4 linked regions of the Arabidopsis thaliana genome follow. The protein of the gene in region 2 interacts with the protein of the main gene of each other region in a pairwise test. Each region holds a gene or a part of one and is shown on either strand. Other genes may lie near its edges. The genes, in order: AT2G03500, AT5G22355, GSTU2 and AT4G14900.

Evidence for each region.
Region 1: the proteins of AT5G22355 (region 2) and AT2G03500 interact in a two-hybrid assay, tested with the Arabidopsis thaliana proteins (one large-scale study listed by BioGRID).
Region 3: the proteins of AT5G22355 (region 2) and GSTU2 interact in a two-hybrid assay, tested with the Arabidopsis thaliana proteins (one large-scale study listed by BioGRID).
Region 4: the proteins of AT5G22355 (region 2) and AT4G14900 interact in a two-hybrid assay, tested with the Arabidopsis thaliana proteins (one large-scale study listed by BioGRID).

What each region holds. Positions count from the first base shown.
Region 1 is NC_003071.7:1,057,916-1,063,229, reverse strand, and holds AT2G03500 (Homeodomain-like superfamily protein), read right to left. Parts: upstream 3,686-5,314; 5' UTR 3,305-3,685; coding exon 3,106-3,304; intron 2,752-3,105; coding exon 2,179-2,751; intron 1,591-2,178; coding exon 1,514-1,590; intron 1,421-1,513; coding exon 971-1,420; 3' UTR 551-970; downstream 1-550. UniProt on the Arabidopsis thaliana protein: Transcription factor acting as a flowering repressor, directly repressing FT expression in a dosage-dependent manner in the leaf vasculature.
Region 2 is NC_003076.8:7,400,083-7,404,491, reverse strand, and holds AT5G22355 (Cysteine/Histidine-rich C1 domain family protein), read right to left. Parts: upstream 2,786-4,409; 5' UTR 2,731-2,785; coding exon 736-2,730; 3' UTR 520-735; downstream 1-519. Other genes in the region: VAMP714 (vesicle-associated membrane protein 714), read left to right, coding at 23-113; ELM1 (fission ELM1-like protein (DUF1022)), read left to right, coding at 3,746-3,931.
Region 3 is NC_003071.7:12,629,672-12,633,049, forward strand, and holds GSTU2 (glutathione S-transferase tau 2), read right to left. Parts: upstream 1,651-3,378; 5' UTR 1,562-1,650; coding exon 1,241-1,561; coding exon of another isoform or gene 1,236-1,240; intron 1,068-1,235; coding exon 711-1,067; 3' UTR 527-710; downstream 1-526. Other genes in the region: AT2G29485 (uncharacterized protein), read left to right, coding at 919-1,060, 1,236-1,303; GSTU1 (glutathione S-transferase TAU 1), read right to left, coding at 1,922-2,275, 2,369-2,689. UniProt on the Arabidopsis thaliana protein: May be involved in the conjugation of reduced glutathione to a wide number of exogenous and endogenous hydrophobic electrophiles and have a detoxification role against certain herbicides.
Region 4 is NC_003075.7:8,520,281-8,526,139, forward strand, and holds AT4G14900 (FRIGIDA-like protein), read right to left. Parts: upstream 3,938-5,859; 5' UTR 3,328-3,937; coding exon 2,421-3,327; intron 2,273-2,420; coding exon 2,097-2,272; intron 1,995-2,096; coding exon 1,479-1,994; 3' UTR 1,072-1,478; coding exon of another isoform or gene 607-1,071; 3' UTR 502-606; downstream 1-501. Other genes in the region: FdC1 (2Fe-2S ferredoxin-like superfamily protein), read left to right, coding at 607-1,071.

The sequences.
Region 1 (5,314 bases), on a different chromosome or scaffold from region 2:
CAATCAAGTTTCAAACCAAGATTTACACCAACCTAAATACTGTCTCATAACAAAAATGATTCTAACACCTTCCAAATTTTTGACATTCTTTTTTCCTAATTTTTTTCCATCAAATGGTTTTTTCTTAGGTTGCAAATATTAGAGTATATAATATGATTATGAAAAACTAAATGCAGAAGTGGTGCGTCGACTAGTTTATGTAATGAAAATAAAGAATATCGCTGACTTTTAGAGCAAAATTCCAAGGACCACCACTCCATATCTAGCACATGAAGATGCATCATACCGGCCAATCAAATATTCAGATTTGTTGTGGCGTTTAATGCAATATTTGTGGACAAATAGTAGATAGTTAAAACCGAAGAAGACTATACATTGCCAATTACTAGAAAATTTGCCGCAATACCAAAGAGATTCCAACAATCTAATTTTAATGATGGTCTTAATTTTAAACGGCAAGTCATTTTGACTTGTGTTATGATCGAACCTAAATATATATACAATGGAAACAACGATTAAATCATTAATTTACATATAGCATTTAGCTGCTCAAATGTTTAACATCACTACAATTTTCATATATATCATTGATAACACAAACAAAGGCCATATGAATTAATCAATTTACACATAGTTAACGCCTACACAAGTTCATATGATCAATCCACATTATCCATTCATATAATCAACCAACTAAAGTAAACACAGACACGATAGTCCCTTTGAGATTACCAGTTTGAATACATGTTTTTATCTAACGATAAGAGTAACATGATCAAAATGAATTTTCTAAGTGATGATATGATATTCATAATGTTCGATAAAAACATTCGCTGCCTCCTGTGATTCATTTTCTACTGAGAAAATATATAGAGAGATACAAGCAATGAAATAAGTTACGTAGGCACCCACAAACCCTAACCCTAAAATCTCATTACTCTAATTAATTAATCAAGAATCTTTATTTTTTTTAGAATTTGAGAGTTATTTCACTTCCATTAATATTGCTGTGATCTTCACATTCTTCCCTAAGAGCAGCCAACCCTTTTCTCTCTCCACCACCACTCTCCGGTGACTTCCCTTCAACTGTGGGACTGTCCGTCACCTGATGATGAGTAGAATCGGTAGAGGCGGTGCCACCGGATGAACCGTTAAACGTTTGAAAGTGGTGGTGGTGGAGCGGCTGAGGAGGCGGTGGAGTTGTGTAGAATTCTTGAGAGGAGCAAAAGTGTGGTGGAGGCGGCCCTGCCGTGTTGGTATGGTGGTGGTGGACTTGGTGGTGGTAGAGAGTCGGAGTGCCACCATGTGCGGAGGTGTACTCCGGTGGAACCCATATGCCACCTAGGACCACCAAATGTGGACCTGGCCCACCTGACGTTTGTGGGCTTGGGCTTGGTCTTCTAGTGTGAAGCCGATACTTCTGTTTGTTTAAAATCAACACACCAGTAAAGTACTTAAATATGAGTTAAAAAAAGTTGTAAAGCATATTGTGGTGACTTGTGATTTAAGTTACCTGGAGATGGCTTTTGACTTCATCATTGGTCAAACCATCAACTTTCATGAGTTCCCTTATTTGTTTAGGTGTAGCCACTGCAATGATATAACCAACATATAAATACGGATACAAGTTCGATTCAAAAATTAAACACTTTTTATTAGGTTAACAAGGTTATTTTAATCTATATTTAATAAACTAAATCCATATCTAAACCGGAAAAAAATAGAATTAGAATTAGAATTTATTTGGAAACTAACTACATATATTTGAATAATTGTTAAGTACTTAAGTTGATCTCTCATTTTTTTTTGTTGATTCAAGTTGATCTATCGTATATTCAATTTCACTTTATGTACTGTTTTTTATCAACCGAAAAAACTATAGAAAACGCCAACTAAAACTTTATAATATGCCTTTTGAAAAAAATAAAAATAGCAAAATGGAAATCATGGCAATTTGCCATACCATATTCATTATTACCTAAATATCGAATAAACCACAAATGATAATACTAGCCATGTATAAAATATGCAGTATACGATAATGATGTATGTATTTGGTGACTCAAATATCATGTCTACTAAAAAAATCGTTTTAATTAGTTGACAATTTTTTTAGATTAACCATGGTAAAGCTACTTCAAATTAATACTTAGTTGATTAGAATAAGTGTATCTGTACCTTGCGAGCCACCAAGCATTTGAAGAGCTTGGACAAATCTCCGGTGCAAGTCCGGCGACCAGCAACGTCGTGCCTTTCTATTACTTTGACTCGTTGTAGAAGAAACTCCATTGCTGTTCGAATTGTTATTATTATTATTATTATAGTTATTATCATTGTTGATCATGCTCTCATCATTACCGTCTTGGCCATTAGTATGTTCGTTGGTCGGAGAGACCCTCTTGACCTCCGTGGATAGAGCTAATTCAGGCAAAGATTGTTCCTTAGAGAAGGGAAGAAAAGCACCGCTGCCATTTCTTTGTTTTGCATCAAAATGTCCGAGTTTCGGACTACTATTAATCTCGTCTTTGGGAAGAGATTGATCAGTAGTTGAATCAATGTTTTTTGGTTTGGTTTCGGATTGGCTCCATAGCTGAGCAGTCGTCATCCAATTACTTCCTTTGTTGTTTGTCTTTTCGGGTTGGTTCCTTAAGGGTATGAACTCTTCGAGAACTGGTCTTGTACCAACACTTTGGTTATTGTTATTACTATTTGCTCTATATGCTTCTAGTTGTTGTTTGTAAACTTCCACAGCTGGAAAAAAAAATCAAACTAATTAAAGATGGTAAAGTAATTTAAAATATGAAAGTAACAGATATAACATGAACCTTATAACCTTTAAAATCACTTTAGTTAGTTTTGTTGATTTCAGTGTTGGGAGGAAACAAAAGTTTTGTGATTCAAAGAAATCAAAAGCAAGCTCTGATTTTTATGAAATAAATTCTTAAATTAATGAATAAAGATCTTTTCAAAAAAAAAAAAGTGAAAAGAAATTCAAAAAACTAATGGTTCACTAGGTTTTTTTTGGTAATAAAGGGATTATTTGAAGATCATATTATACACAAGTATATATACGTAGATCTAAATATTGTAAATGGATATATGTACCATTGTTAAGGAGTTGCATGCAAAGGGGAAGCTCGCGTTTGAAGGCATCGATCTTGAGACGTTCTTGTTCTAGGCGAGAGAGAAGATCTTCAAGCTTATGTGTGGTTGGATCGCTCTGAAAGTTATCTCCAAAGGATTTCAAAAGCATAGAGTAGCTTTGTGGCTTGCAATCCAAGCTTAGTTCTGATGAGGACGCCATATTTATAGCTTATATACTCTCTCTCTCTCGCTGTATAGGAAGAATATTTATTGATTATATAAATATAATATAGATGATCAAGGAATCAAGAAGAATTTGTGGTGCCTTCAAGTTTCAGATGATATATGTATATGCTATATGGTTCTTCAGAAATATTTCAAAGATTTTCAGGGTTTTTGGAAATTAGGGTTTGGAGAGGAAGAGCGAATGAAGAAGAAGATAGAGGAAAAGGGGAATAAAATGTTAGGTTGTGGACACAAGGAGGATCACAAGGAGGTTCCTGTCCTTTTTAGAGGGCTCAATTCAAAGGAACGGAATAATGTGATCTGTCACCACACACACACACACACATATATCTATCGAGAGAGGGAGAGACTAAGGAGGTGTATTTTTTAGAGAGAGAGAGTGAGAGGCTTCTTACTGTTAGAAGTCGTTCCTCTTCTCTAATGAGTCAATATTTTTTTATTTTTTTTAATATTATGTAAAATTATTCGGAAAAAAACTGTTTTACATCAAGTGCTGCTTGTGTTTGAGCAAAATTTGAGAAAATATAACAAAGATAAATTATTTTTATTTTCTAATGAGTCAATATTACTAAAGGTGTATCATGTGTGACTCTCATTTCTCAAAAAGCTTATAATCAAGGCTTTTGATGCTACCATATATGGCTTCATGAATCTTAAACAAAATAGTTAATATATAAAAAACTATGGCTTGGTAAATATTAGTAAAATCATTAAATTAGTAACCATTTGATTTGTTTTTTTATCTTCTCTTATAATGCTTAGTTTTTAATCACTTCTTCAGAAAATTAATCTATGTATAATTCCATATGAAAGAAAGAGAAAAGAGAGGCTAAAGGAGAAAAGAGGAAGATATAAAGCAGCAGAGCAAAAGGGAATATATGGAAACTTGTTATAAAGAACAAATGGGTAAGAATACAAACTTTTAAATTATTTCTAATAAAGCGATATATTGTTTTTAATCTCAGATTCTGCTTTTGTTGGTTCACCACTTCACATAGCTTATACTTTCGTAAATTCAGTCTCATAATTCTTAAGATAAAATATGTTTCCTAATTCTCCTATAAATCTTAGCTCATGTTGACTGAAAAATAGATCTAAGCTAACATTTCAGGTATTTGGTTCTTAATTATCTTATATATTCGACAAAGTTAAAATAAAATTATGGAATCACCAACGCAATTATGTGAAAGGAATAAATTGTGAACGTTTTAGTACATTTTGGGAAATTTATAGTCGTTGCCAGAAAAACAAATATTCTTCTACCACCTTCTTAATTTATATAGTTAATTATTTTAAATTTTCAAAAGGAATTGAGATTCAATATAAATCAAAGAAGCACATATTAGGCCACAAGATTTTTATATTTATAGTTGCACGACGGCGAGAGAGAGAGACAGAGATAACGATTGATCAATATTTTTTTGTAAATTGAATTTCTTAAAAAAGTTGAATAATTATTCTAAATTTTAGTGGATGCAAAAAAGAGAAAGAAAGGGAATATCTGATTTAATTTATTACCATAAACTAGGACAGATATTCACTTAAGTAAATAATATTGACAGAAGTTTGAGAGTCGCAGAATCTTCCCACCGGACTTTAGTGAAGTGGCCAGGAAGGTAGAAGATTCTTCTTACTTAGAAATATTTTAAACTTTTTTAAAGAGTTTTTGCAATTCAAAGTCTTATCAAAATTTCTTTTCGTATCTAGGTTTCATTGAAAACCGATGAACTAATTGTGGACCTGATAAAATTAATTCTCTAAAATGCTTCTGTTTAATATTTGATGCACATATGTAATACAAATTAATTATTAGATATATGCATATTAAAACAAATTCGGGGCGGATATATCAATTTGATTTGATGATACAAGATTTTTTCTACCCAATCAAATTTATATTCAAGGCAAATAAGAGAGCATTTAGAAGTTGTAATTGTTTAGTTGCTCTATGCTTTCATATAATAACATTTCTAGAACATTAATC
Region 2 (4,409 bases):
TTTTCTTGTTTGTGTTCGGCAGGGTCTTGTTGACATGCTTGATAGTTTTCTTGCTGTACATAATAATCGCATCTTTCTGCGGAGGAATCACTTTACCATCATGCAGATCTTAAAATCTGGCGGCCTTATCTAAGGTATACTGAAACGGACCACTGTTTTTGTAAATCAACTCAGTCGCATCATTTCGATTTGAAGCCTTGGTTTTGTCATGAAAATGACTGTGAGTTTGAAGTTACATGTCATGGTCCTCCTTGCTTATGTAACTCTTGTAAATGTCAAAATCAAAATGATACAGAGGTTCATTGAACTCTTGCCTTGTCTTTTAGATTTAGTCACGTGAGTGAGTTTGTTCTCTGTATTTCCAAAACTTTATCCGCTGTGTCTTTATAATTTTTGCATTTGCAATGTACATCACATATTCGTTATTTTTGTTGTTAAAATTACTTCAGTTTTCATCTTTGTTTAATAACATTTCTGATTCACAAATATCTGTTTCCATCATTTCTGTCTATGTTTTCATTAACTAAATCATATTAGTTGCTACTACCTTTTTAGCAAGTTTGTCATAACTTGTTACGACTTTATATATGTCATCGATACAGTTTAATCCTGCCTGTACTGATGAACACAGTATGAATATAACCAGAATGCTTAGCACTTGTAGTTGGAAATAAACTCTTACATCCAAAAAATTACGAGAAACAATAGAGTGAAATAAACAGCTACATAGTTGTCTTAGCTGTATTGATAGTCGGGCACTACACATGCATCGGAACAAATGTATCCAGTATATGGATCACAAAGCTTTAGAATGATAGGAGCTCTGCATCTGGAGTGACATTTTGCACAGAAGGGGCGAGAACTATAGCTGTTAAGAACCACTTCAACTCTAACATTATTGTAGTTGATGATGCGTCCTGGCATGAGACGTGAAAAGTCTCCAAGCACACATTCAATATGTGCAGTAACCACACATTTAGAGCAAGTGTAGAACCACTTACTTGGATCTGTTTCCGCCTCGCAAATATCACACCAATATTTTCCGGTTGCATTTTCGCCATAGCATAGGGAAAGAGGATGATTGTCGCAGCTGTGCTTTACCGTTTTTGGTAAATCAGTACAGTGTAAATCCAGATCAAAGTCACAAGTGTCACAGGAAAGCAGATAACCATCTATCTCTTTATAACATGCATCACAACAGTGATCTTTCTTATGTTCGTAATATAGAGGATGTCTGTGACCATCATGAATGACCGGTTCAGAACGCGAACCACAACGTACATCTAGAACCCACCAATCAGAAACGTACCTGAAACCAGTAGACTTCGTTCTACAAGCATAGCAGCGAAAGACATCGTAGAATCTAAAATCTTTGCTATGGAATGTACGAGGTGGTCTGGACCATAGTGTGAATGGTTTTGTGTGGAATACATGTCGTTTCTTTTTTGGATGATTAGCGCATTTCTCATGGAGAATGAAACGACATTCCTCACAGTTGTAGATCGGATCGGAATAGATAGGAAGGACGCATGCTTCACAACGTGAGCCTTCGTCACGATTGATATTGTCCTTGTTGAGTCTTAGATTATGTTCTTCATGACTGAAATGCTTGATCAAGTTATCACCCACCACTTTGAACGGCACAATATCTTCGTCATCATCATCTGGTGTCCCTTCGAGTTCTACCCCATCCCATACGTCTTTTCTTGTTGCACATAGTGAATGAGCTGCATAGTTCGGGCAACGAGGGCATAAATAAGCCCCATGGTATTGACTTATATCTTTGCGACAAATACCGCATCTCGAGTACCCAACACCGAGATGATGGGTGAAAGAGATGCGATGATCGTGACGGTTGATGTTTATGACACGTGGTAAGTCAATACAAGTTCTATGGACAACAAACCCGCATTGAACACACATGTAAGGACTTCGATCACCTTGCATCCCACAAGCATTACATTCAAATGAGATGAGTCTTGATAAGAGGACAAGTCGATGCTCGTGCGTCTTATGATGCTCGATAGCAAGTGGTGGTGGATCTTTTGTACAGAATCGACATACGCTGAAGTTGCATATCGAGCAGCGATAAAGCACTTTGTCTGGTCGTTCTCCACATAAAAGACATGTCTCTTCAGCATCACTTGTTAGTGATTCATATTCAAGTAACTTGAGAGAATGTTGAGGATGAGAAGGATGATTCACCTCTTGGGAAAGATTGACACACTCGACATGAAAGTGGACTTCACATTCAAGACATGCATAAGAACATCCACCATTATAGCCCTTGCAAATTCCGCATCTGCGCCTACCCGGCTTTGCGGGTTCTTTCAAGAAGATAACTGGATGATGATGAGACTTTGGATGTTCGATAGAAACCGGCAATGGATTTATCCCACAAGTGAGATCCACGATGAAGTCACATTTTGATGAACAACGATAACCAAAAGCGAAAAAAGTCTTGCCACATAGATTACATTTACATGGGTTCCTTAGAGAATTGTGGAGTTTAAGAGTGTGTTGAGGATGAGAAGGATGGTTGATAATCTCCGGTGGAGCCTCTGCGCACTCTTTGTGGAAGAACAAACTAGTAGAGGAAGGCTCGTTGCAACGGTAGCCGCCATAGATGGGACCTTTTATATTGCAACCTTTACAAGAATCATTAACAAAACGAGTCGAAATGGTCAAAGGATATTTGTGAGTTGGTAGTATTTTGGGTGGTAGATCCATTTTGTGATTCAAATGCGGTTTGTTTTCTGGAGATCTCAAGATAATACTACATCATATGAATGCATCTTTGTAACCCCAATATAACAAAGACACGTAATGTGTGAACACCTTAACGATTCTTGTCTCCAATGAATCATGTGCAATCGATCCTGTTTTCCACGAGATGATTATAATATATAGTTGAATTATTTCATATTCCTAACTGTTTACAACCTGCACACATTAAATTATCTTATCATCGTTATAGCTACCTATGAATATAATAGTATGAAAATACCCAATAAATTAATTTCCTAAACTCAACATCTAACGTGTTAACAACAGCTAAGATATATAATTATATTGAATCATTTCTGCAATTTCATATTCTCTATCGTGACACTCGGAGTCTTGAGATCGCTAGATTTCTTTGAATACTATGATTGGTAAAGTCGTGTGTAAAAAAGTTAGACCGAGACAAAACGAGGCACAGGAAGAACAATAACAGTTGGGCTTTTTCCAGATAAGGCTTCACCTTTTAACAATCAAATTCTACATATTGGGCCTACGAAGAGGTTCATAAGATTTGAATAGACAATTAGAAAAACAGCAATTATGTGACAAATAGTGTTTTATTCTAATTTTGGATGACTATCGGTGAAATTTTAATTTTAATCATCATATAACAAAACAAAATTCCAAAACTTCAAATTCTAAAATCAAAATTTTTAAAATACCATACAATTTCTTTTTTTTTAAACAATTGTATGTTTTGTATTGACAAAATTAGTTTTATTGATTAGCAAAAAATTCGTTTAAGACCTTAAATTTGTCCTTTGTTAATTGTTATACCAAATTTTAGCGTAAAGACAATCTCTTGAAGGAGAAAAGGAAAACAATCTCTCTTTCTGTGACCTTTCGCAACTTGTCAAAGCACCACGACCTTCTCTCTACGGAGTTGAGATCAATCCCCCCAAATCTCGGTGTGGTTCCTCTAGGGTTTTTGATCGGAATCGGAATCGATAATCTAACCGGCATGAGGCCAATCCTATTGCCGGATCCACCCAGTCTATCTACCGGCGTCCCTGATATTTTCGAACAAGGCGGTTCCCATAACGTCGTCAGACGCGCCGTCGTCATCGGAAACGGTTTCCCTGGCTCCGAGAATCAGTGTATCGGTCTCGTTCGTGCGCTCGGCTTATCTGATAATCACCTTCTCTACGTGAGTTTCTTTGATCTAGGCTCTAGACGTTTTTAGCATCTGCTTAGTGCTTTCATTTCGTCGACTATAAACCATTGATACTATACTCGAAATTCTCGTCAGTTTTTGCTAGGCGCATGATGTAGTTGAGAGATTGATGATTGCTTTTGGATAGGAGTTTCTTTTACTTTGTTGTTTCGTCGTGTGTTCTAGGTTTTTAGCTTGTTAGGTCTCAGTCTAAGTAGGAGTGGAAATTTCATATTGTTTAGTACTTCTTTAGAGTGTATGAATGTTCAGAGAAGGAGGAACTATTTGAATTTTTATGGAAACAATGAATTGGTAAATATGTAAATTTGCCAATATCTCAAGTTCTGCAAATTTAGGGTAAACAGTGGAAGGTTCTTGGGGTGTCATAACTACCTATATTGTCAGTTTTATTTATAATTTTTTTTGGTAAATCTTAAAGAGAATTGAATCATTGGTGGAGCATGATGCTGGT
Region 3 (3,378 bases), on a different chromosome or scaffold from region 2:
AGTTCAATGTATGTACATCATTCATGTGTATCATCCAAGAACATCTAGAAGGTAGTTGTTCATCATTGCCGTCACTTTCAAATGTGTTCATCATTTATCCTCACGCCTAAACATTTCAGCATGTGTTCAAAATATTAAGAATCCTCAAAAGTCAATATTTATGTCTAACTTTGACCATCTCTCTTTTTTTTTTTTTTGATAAATATTCTTTGAACATGTCTTTCATCTTTCACTTCCGATGTATTAGTTTTGGAGAGATATGTTAAATATTTGTTATTTCATTTCTTGAAGAAATTGAGTTACCAATGCTAATACAAAATTGGATAGACTAATAGAACCAGAATATCACTAAACTGAAATACTAACCAACAATACACAATAAACCAATACTAACCAACCATACGTTAATGTTCTTAACTTCTTATCAAACATCATGTAATCAATACCACACATCATGAAACAAATTAACTCATCATCCTATCGAACTTAGATTTACCATCTTTGCAATTTATTTTCCCTAAACCATAAATCAATATTTGTTATTATAGTTATAATAGGTAGCTTTCAACATTTCACTTTGCACCCATTAATTGATTTCCACTACCAATGCAGCTACATTCATTCTTTGTTTCAAATTTTTCAATAACAAAACGATACAAGCTGCACATAGTCATTATTTTAGAACACAGAGTTATGAAGTTATCATTAATTTAGAACGTAGACTTAGCTCTCTCTATAATTTTCTTCATACGCTCAATATGTTTCTCTTTTGGAGGTATACATTCCCTCACGATCTCAACTTCATTCAAGTTCTTGATCCATCTGTTTAATTCTGGAAACGTATCCTCTGGAGTCATATCAATCCCCAAACATTCCCAAGCCCGAGCAAGACAAAACGGGATCATACTTCCCGCAACCATGTCCAAGAATCCGATCGTCTTGCCACCAAAGAAATCTTTTCCAGTGACTTCCTTCTCAAGAAACATAAGCATTTCTCGAATCTCCTCAATAGCAACATCTATTCCCTTCTCTGCTTTTACTAGGGGCATGAAGCCAACTGGTAGGATCTGCAAGTTATTATACCAATCTATAAAAAAAAGTACTTAGAAAATTACTTTATCCTACAAATAATCCTGATATAAATGCTTGAAATGTAATGAACTTCTAATAACTCTCAAGTGTTTCTCATTTATTTTGCAATCAATATTATAAATCAATTTAATTAGTTAGACTAGAGTACCTGCTCATCAACGAACTTGGCCCAGAACCGAACCATGGCCTTCTCGTAGGGATCGTGAGGTAGAATTGGATTGTTATTCCAAGTTTGGTCGATGTATTCGAGGATCACATGTGACTCGGATAATAATTTATCATTGTGAACAAGAACCGGAACCTTCTTGTGAACCGGATTTAGTTCAAGAAGTAAAGTGCTCTTTTTGGGTAAGTCTTCTTCCAAGTACTCGTATGGTACGCCTTTAAGTTTGAGAGCCATCTCGACTCTACGACTAAAAGGGCTTATCCAAAACCCTAGAAGCTTCACACTCTCTTCTTTCTTCGCCATTAGATCTCTCTCTCTGACTCTCTCTGTCACTTTAAAAACAATATTGTGCTTTTTTTTGTAGTCTCAACTCTCAAGCTTATCTTGAAGATAAAAAAAAAAAAAAAGACATCAGTAAGGTAACCAAGTCACTGCTGAGGTCACTTTGGTTATTTTATTCTTATTTCCTTCTAGTCTTGGCTTTTACAATCTCCAGACACACCACGTTATTTGATTGCTGTAACTTTCAAATAGGTTTTTGATCTTTTTACTTAAATATTAGGTCATTCTATTTTTCGAAAAACTTTAAAAAATAAAAATATAAATAAAAAACGATGCAAGCATATAAATCAAATATTTTCGTAGGCAAGAAGTATCTTTAATTTAGGCAGACTTAATTGTCTCTGCAATTTTGGTCATGCGCTCAATTTGTTTCTCTCTTGGAGGAATACATCCCCTCACTGCCTCAACTTCTTCCAAATTCTTGATCCATCTATTTAATTCCGGAAACTTCTCCTCTGGAATCATATCAATTCCAATACCTTTCCAAAGTCTAGCTAGACAAAATGGGATCATACTTCCTGCGATCATGTCCAAGAATCCGATTGTCTTGCCACCGAAGAAATCTTTTCCAGTGACTTCTTTCTCAAGAAACATAAGCAGTTCCCGAGTCTCTTCAATAGCAACCTCTCTTCCTTTCTCTGCTTTTACAAGGGACCTAAACCCTAGTGTTAGGATCTGCAAGTAAAGAACAATATATAAACAAGCGAATAATATAATATTGTTCTGCATAGAATCAACTAATTAATCTGCAAATCAATATTAGTATACCTGGTCATCGATGAACTTGGCCCAAAATCGAGCCATGGCCTTCTCGTAAGGATCTTGAGGAAGAATTGGACTGTTCTTCCACGTCTGATCGATGTATTCGAGAATCAGATGTGACTCGAGTAATATTTTGTCATTGTGGACAAGAACCGGAACTTTCTTGTGAAGCGGGTTTAGCTCCAGAAGCAAAGGGGTCTTGTTGGGCAAATCTTCTTCCAAGTATTCGTATGGCACGCCTTTGAGTTTGAGAGCCATCTCGACTCGACGACTAAAAGGGCTTGCCCAAAACCCTAGAAGCTTCACACTCTCTTCTTTCTCCGCCATTCGATATCTCTCACTTTTTGGTATCTAACTCCTCTGTTTCTTGCACTACTTTTCTTTTTTATGTTTCGTTTACTTGCTTGATTACTTGAGTTTACTATATTCTATACACAAATGAAGTTATGGGTGGTGAAATAAACAAATAAATAAAAGGACCATTTTGCTTTCTCTTTGTCTTTGTATCCAAGGATATCTTGAAGATCACACCAGAAAAGGACTGATTTATATTTTAAGGTATGCACGTCATTGCCAACGTCATTCGTCTTAGTGTTTTAAGATATTTGACCAACACTTAGTGTTTCTAATCTCCAGTCAATTAGCCGACCAAGAAATAACAAATCTCCAAATGATTACGTTCTACAATTTATATTTTAAGATTCATATGTTGAAAAGTTTAAAACTGAGAGATTAATGTATCGACTGTATTTGTAAAACACACAACTTTTTTTGTTTTGAAGAGTCTATTTTTTGGCCAATTCATTGTCTGCCAAACATTTGAAATGAATGACATTGTAAAACAGAAGAAATATTCAGTTATCAAACAAAATGTTAATCATTTTGAAAGAAATGATGTAATAATCTAAATCAAAATATAACATTTATATAATGTGAACCTTTTCAGTTTTTGGGTTTGATTCCGTCTTGATTCACGGTATCGGTTGATTTGGTTTAGTTAAACCGAAATCGAACTC
Region 4 (5,859 bases), on a different chromosome or scaffold from region 2:
GAGGAATAAGCAAGTGAATCAAAAAGTATGGGACGAGGAAGAAGATGATACCTGAATGAGAAAGTCAATAACCTTGACCCGAATCGTTTTGAAGAAAATGGAGAAAATCGGTTGTATGGAATAAAATCTTCGAATGATGAGATATATGATCTCTTTGGTGTCAGTCACATGGCACACGCTATCAATTTAGAAAAACGCGGTGGTTGGTCACCAGAATTACTACTTCTCGGTCTGATTTGGTCATATCCGTATTAAGTCCGGTTAATATTTTCCATAACTGGGGTTTGAACATTCGGTTTCTTTTTTTCAGTTAGTCCGATTTGGAGTTTTGAGTATGGAAAAATAATACTGAATTTATTTGTTCAAACTGTTTTGGAAAAAATATTTCCCTTAATTACGAATATAATTAAAATTTTAAAATTCATTTTATTAGATCTTGGTTAATTCGGTTTAATGCATTAATGAATTTCGGTTTAAGTCGGTTTTCGGTTTTTATGTCCCACCACTATCTACAACCGATGATCAACCTTATCTCCGTATTCACCACAAACAGTCATCACTCTCACTTGACACAAAAACTCTTTTGTCTCCGTCTCTCTGTCTCTCATGGCGACTCTTCCTCTCCCGACTCAAACTTCTACAATCTCTCTCCCTAAACCTTATCTCTCCAATTCCTTCTCCTTCCCACTCCGTAACGCAACACTCTCAACAACAACAAACCGCCGGAACTTTCTCACCACCGGAAGGATCATAGCTCGGGCATATAAAGTGGTGGTAGAGCACGACGGAAAGACGACTGAATTGGAAGTCGAACCAGACGAGACGATTCTATCTAAGGCTCTTGACTCTGGCCTTGACGTTCCCTACGACTGCAATCTCGGTGTTTGTATGACTTGTCCAGCGAAACTCGTGACCGGAACGGTGGATCAAAGTGGTGGGATGCTAAGTGATGATGTGGTTGAACGTGGCTACACGCTTCTATGTGCTTCGTATCCAACTTCTGATTGTCACATTAAGATGATCCCTGAGGAAGAACTCTTGTCTCTCCAGCTCGCCACTGCCAACGACTAATCATCTTCTTGATTTAGACTAAAGAAGTCTTTTTTTTGGTGTAATACGAACACTTTGTAACGAATCTTGCTATGAGACTTCGAAATCTTGATTTCAATGAGCCAATACAAACAGTGATACATAACATAATCACAGTGAAACATTCCTGGTTTAAGATGAATCTATTAAGTACTGAACTAAATTCGTTGATTGAAACATTAGGAAAGTGAATAGATATGTATAATTTAGATTAATAAACACACAAGGGTAGACTAATTCAGAACCAGAAAGAGTGAGAGTGTTAGCTACAAATGATACGATATAAAAAAAGAGAGATTACAACAAAAACGAGGTAGAGACAAAACGTAGACACCAGAGATCAGTGGTTGGTTACTTACCATCTTCTTTTTTCCTTTGTCATTGTCTAATCAGTAGTAAGCATGCTGAATATGGTGGTGGTGGTGCGGGTGAGGATGGTAAACTGGAGGGGGTGGAGCAGCCACCGGACTGCAGTAGGTACCATATGCTGTCGGATAACTGACCGGAGAGGTTTGGTAAGAACCATGAACCGCCTCGGGTGAGTATTGGTATGGAGGGCTCCTGTTGCTGTAGATGGTAGGTGGGGATGTGGTGTATGCTGGTACACCGTATTGAGGTGAGTGACTTTGGGATCTGATGAATGTTGGTGGAGGCGGTGGGAAAGAGGAGACGTAAGCGTTTGTGATACGCCCTGCTTTGGCTGGTGGCATTGGACCGCTGTAGCTTGCTCGGGTTCTCTTGTTGGCGGGAATCACGGCTGGTTTTCTCTTCTCGGTTTTGGTCTTCTCTAGCTGATCCAACCTCTTCTTGAGATTCTCGGGTGGGAATTCTTCCTCGAGTTTGTATTCTTCTATGCATTTTAAGACTGCTCTAAGTGCTGATTGCTCTTTGCGCGCCACAAGATGCTAGAAAAATACACACATACATTGGTAAGCGAGTGCAGAAGAAACAGATCCCTGCAAATGGATCCAGCAAAGAAAACGAGTAACACAAATGGAGGAAAGTACCGCAGATCGGCCAGAATTGTTGGAATCATCAGTGATTAAAGCTGTAGCTTTCTTTGCATCCCTCAGATAAGCTTTGAGCAAAGGAACAGGAGGGAACAAGTGTACAAGACCAACTTCAAAAGTGAAATGAACCGCATCAAGCTGTTGTCCCCTGATTATCAACTCTTCAATCATATCTGTGTGAAGCCATAACAACCCAAAAACCATCATTTTCCATTTCAGATACTACTCACAGATTCCCATGACAAAAGACAACAACTTGTGCTTCCCCAATATATAGCTAAAAACATCTAATGGTAATCAAAGGTAAAGAAGAAAGATTACCAGGCATTTGGTCGCCCAAACCAACTGAAACAGCAAGCTTTGGCATCTGTTTACGCCAAGCTGAACCAACCACAAGTTTCCTATAAAGAGCTAGATCATCCTTCTTCACAATCCCAAAAGTCACAAGATGTTGCAGAAACGTATGAACATCAGGTGTTTTCACATTCTCAATCCCTCCTCTCTCTTCCAAGCTAGCCTTCCACGTCTCAGCAATCTCTTTAGCTTTCTCCTTAACGCTAGGAGTTACAAGTAGCCGAGACTTCCCCATCACTGGATCAACCATAACTGGAATCAAACTCTCCAGAATCACAACACAAGCCCATCCAAAATCATTGCTCACTTTCTCTCCACCACCTCTTTTATCCACCGGAAAAACCTCAGATACAGCTTCAAGTACTAACTTCGGCGGATCCACACAATCTACCAACGCCACAGGAATCTGTGACCGGAGATTCTCCAATTCCTTCTTCCTCGCAATCACAAACCCCCAAAATCCTCTTGCGTCCATCTTCAAACAAAGCGACTTCAGCGCCGATAAAAGCCCGTCGCCGTCGTCGACTTCTCCGGTATCTTCATCACCACAGTCTCTAGCTTTCTCCAGCGAATCCAACGCCGCTCTAACGCGTTCCTCAACTTTCCCCTCCGCGATCTCGACGCTGTGGTCTATAGTCACCTCACGATGCTTGAGTAACTCAATCGAGCTCTGCGTTTGATTATCTAGGGTTTCAATCATCTGTCTCAGAGCTTCAGATTTCTTCATCAGGTTTTGCTCCATGGAAGTGAAATGCTCAGAGAGCTCTTTCCATAGAAGATTGCAGCTCGTCATTAGAGACGCCTGCTTCTGAAACTCAAAGAAACTCGGCTGAGACGACTTAATCAACTCTCCTGGATCGGGAGAAGACTCCATCTCCGGTTAATCGTACGGTGAAGAAACTCAAAACTTTAGTCGATTTTGCAGAGAAGAAGGTAACAAAAGTGAAGAAGAAGGACTGATTTGTTTGTTTTGCAGGAAAACCTAAAAATGGCAATAGTATAAGAGGAGGAGGATGACGTGGATTAGTCAGAAGAATGACACGTGTAATGGCGTCTGTAACTATGGCGCGATTATGACAGCCATCTAGAGTGCGCCTTGTGTGCCTGCGTACTTTTATGACGGCAGCAATAGCACCAAACTCCCGATTGGTTGTTGCTAACGTGAGCGGAGAACGCGTATTTTTAGAAAAGTTGTGGTAAACCGAAATTTGTATCGGTTTAAGTGAACCAGAAAAAGGAAAAGGTAGGAGAAAATCGGTGGGTGACCACCACATGCGTTGAGTCAGAAGACAGTGAAGCATTGCCGGCATAAATGTATGCAAAATTGTACTTTACGAAATTTTAATTTTGTAGTAAAACGTATATTTTGAAAAAAAGAAAAAAAAAAGAGAATGTTGTTGCCAAGAAAAAAAATGAAAGTACATTTGTGGAGAAGAACTTGTAGATGGTGTAATGAAATAGGCATGCGTTGGAGTGTTGGGCCCAATATTTGTGTTTGTAGACGTGATGATTAGGTAAGCACAAAACCTTTTTACACTAATTATTTGTGTTTTTACATATTACATAATTTAATCAAATATATGACCAAAAGATTCAGAACCAAATTCAGACTAATACTCGTGATTTTTTTTGTTCTCCTTTCTTCTCGTTGAAGCGCAAAGACATGCATGTTGATAATCTTACAGAAGTGTTAAAAAACTTTCTTTTAAAAAGAATAGGTGAAGATAATTCAATATTTTAATTTTATCTTTTATTTTTCATCATAAATTTTTTCTTTTTTGTGTTCATCGTATTTTGTAGAAGAGTCAAGTATTTTTGTCATCTCATCTAAAATTGCCAACCATAATTTAAATCAGAGTAGAAAGATTTAAACTTCGAGCACTCAATTGATAAGGTGAACATTTTAACCACGCACTAACCATCATTAACTATAAGAACATAAAGTAACGTACGTATTTTATTTTCGACGTAGGAATCTCATTTTCTATATATAGCTAGTTATCGTATACGTTAACATTTAACAAAACCCAAAAGAAGCACAAGATAATGTTCCATATCACAGTATTGGACCACAAGTCCACAACATTGAAGATATCCTATTATGGAAAATATATGTTTTTTTTTAGTCCTATTATGGGAAAATATATGTTTTTAACGACGGATATGTGAGGATACTGAATTATAGCCTTACTTACAAAGATTGTGACAAGATAAAACAAAGCGAATGAAACGAAATATTTCACTTTTTGGATAATAGAGTTGACAAATGACAACTACAACAATAATTGATTGTTTGGAGTTAACGTGATTAGTTTTCTCCCCGCATGTTGAAACAGGAATGGGCTAAGGGAACATGATATTTAAAAGGGATAAGAGAGATTAGGAGGGTTCAAATTCACAAGGGATCATAATGATCTAAAGTCGTGCAGAGTATGCAGTGATTTGACATGAATCTTGGCCTAACCTTATATAGCAACATGATTAAGACACTGCATAATCTAAAGCTTTTAATCATTATGTGTAAAATTAATATATCCATGTCCTAATTGTCAATGATGACGGTTATAATCTCATATATGATAAAAGCAAACATTCATAATTCATAACACTTCTTCTGTCTTTTATCTTGGACTACTAAATATGAAACAATAATTATACCATTTCAGGCCATGTATTTGAGAAGATATATATATAGCAAGAACGTTGTGAGACAATATATTATTTAGCAAAAGTGAAACTTCAGGCAAAAGTTACTTCGTATATATGATTATATTTTCATGTTAATCCATAAGACTAAATCTAGAGTCACCAACACAAATATATGAAACTTTGAGCGCAAAAAAAAACAATGACCTAATAAGGCATATATAGCCTATGACCAAGATAGCCACCAATTAACCAAATATTAAGGCAAACCATTCCCACGAGATACTCTTCCCTACCACTTTCGTTACTCTAGAAAACACCATAGAACTCTGAATAGCTCTTTGGCATGTGACTTAAAGATAACAAAAGGGGATATCATTGGCTGGCCACAAAATCAATCACCACTTTGCGAGAAGGGTAAAAGAAAAGGGAAAAAAAGCACAAAAGGCTAAAAACATATCACCAGAATCTATCAAAGTTCTGAGAGCATATATCAAGCATTATCATAAATATTTCAAGAATTCTTTTCAACGAGAATCATTCAGATCAAATGTAAGTTGTAAGTTATAATATGTGTTTTTTTTTACGAAGCTGACTACTAGACTAGTATCAGCTTCCGGGGGTTTATCAAATTGTCTCCATGTAAAATATGTCAGACTGGTTAAAGCATCAAGACTGTTTTAGGTTTCGATAAATTTGATAGAGGAATATGCTCTTATTGATTCTCATTCTCCAAAACATAAGTTTTTCAAACAGTATT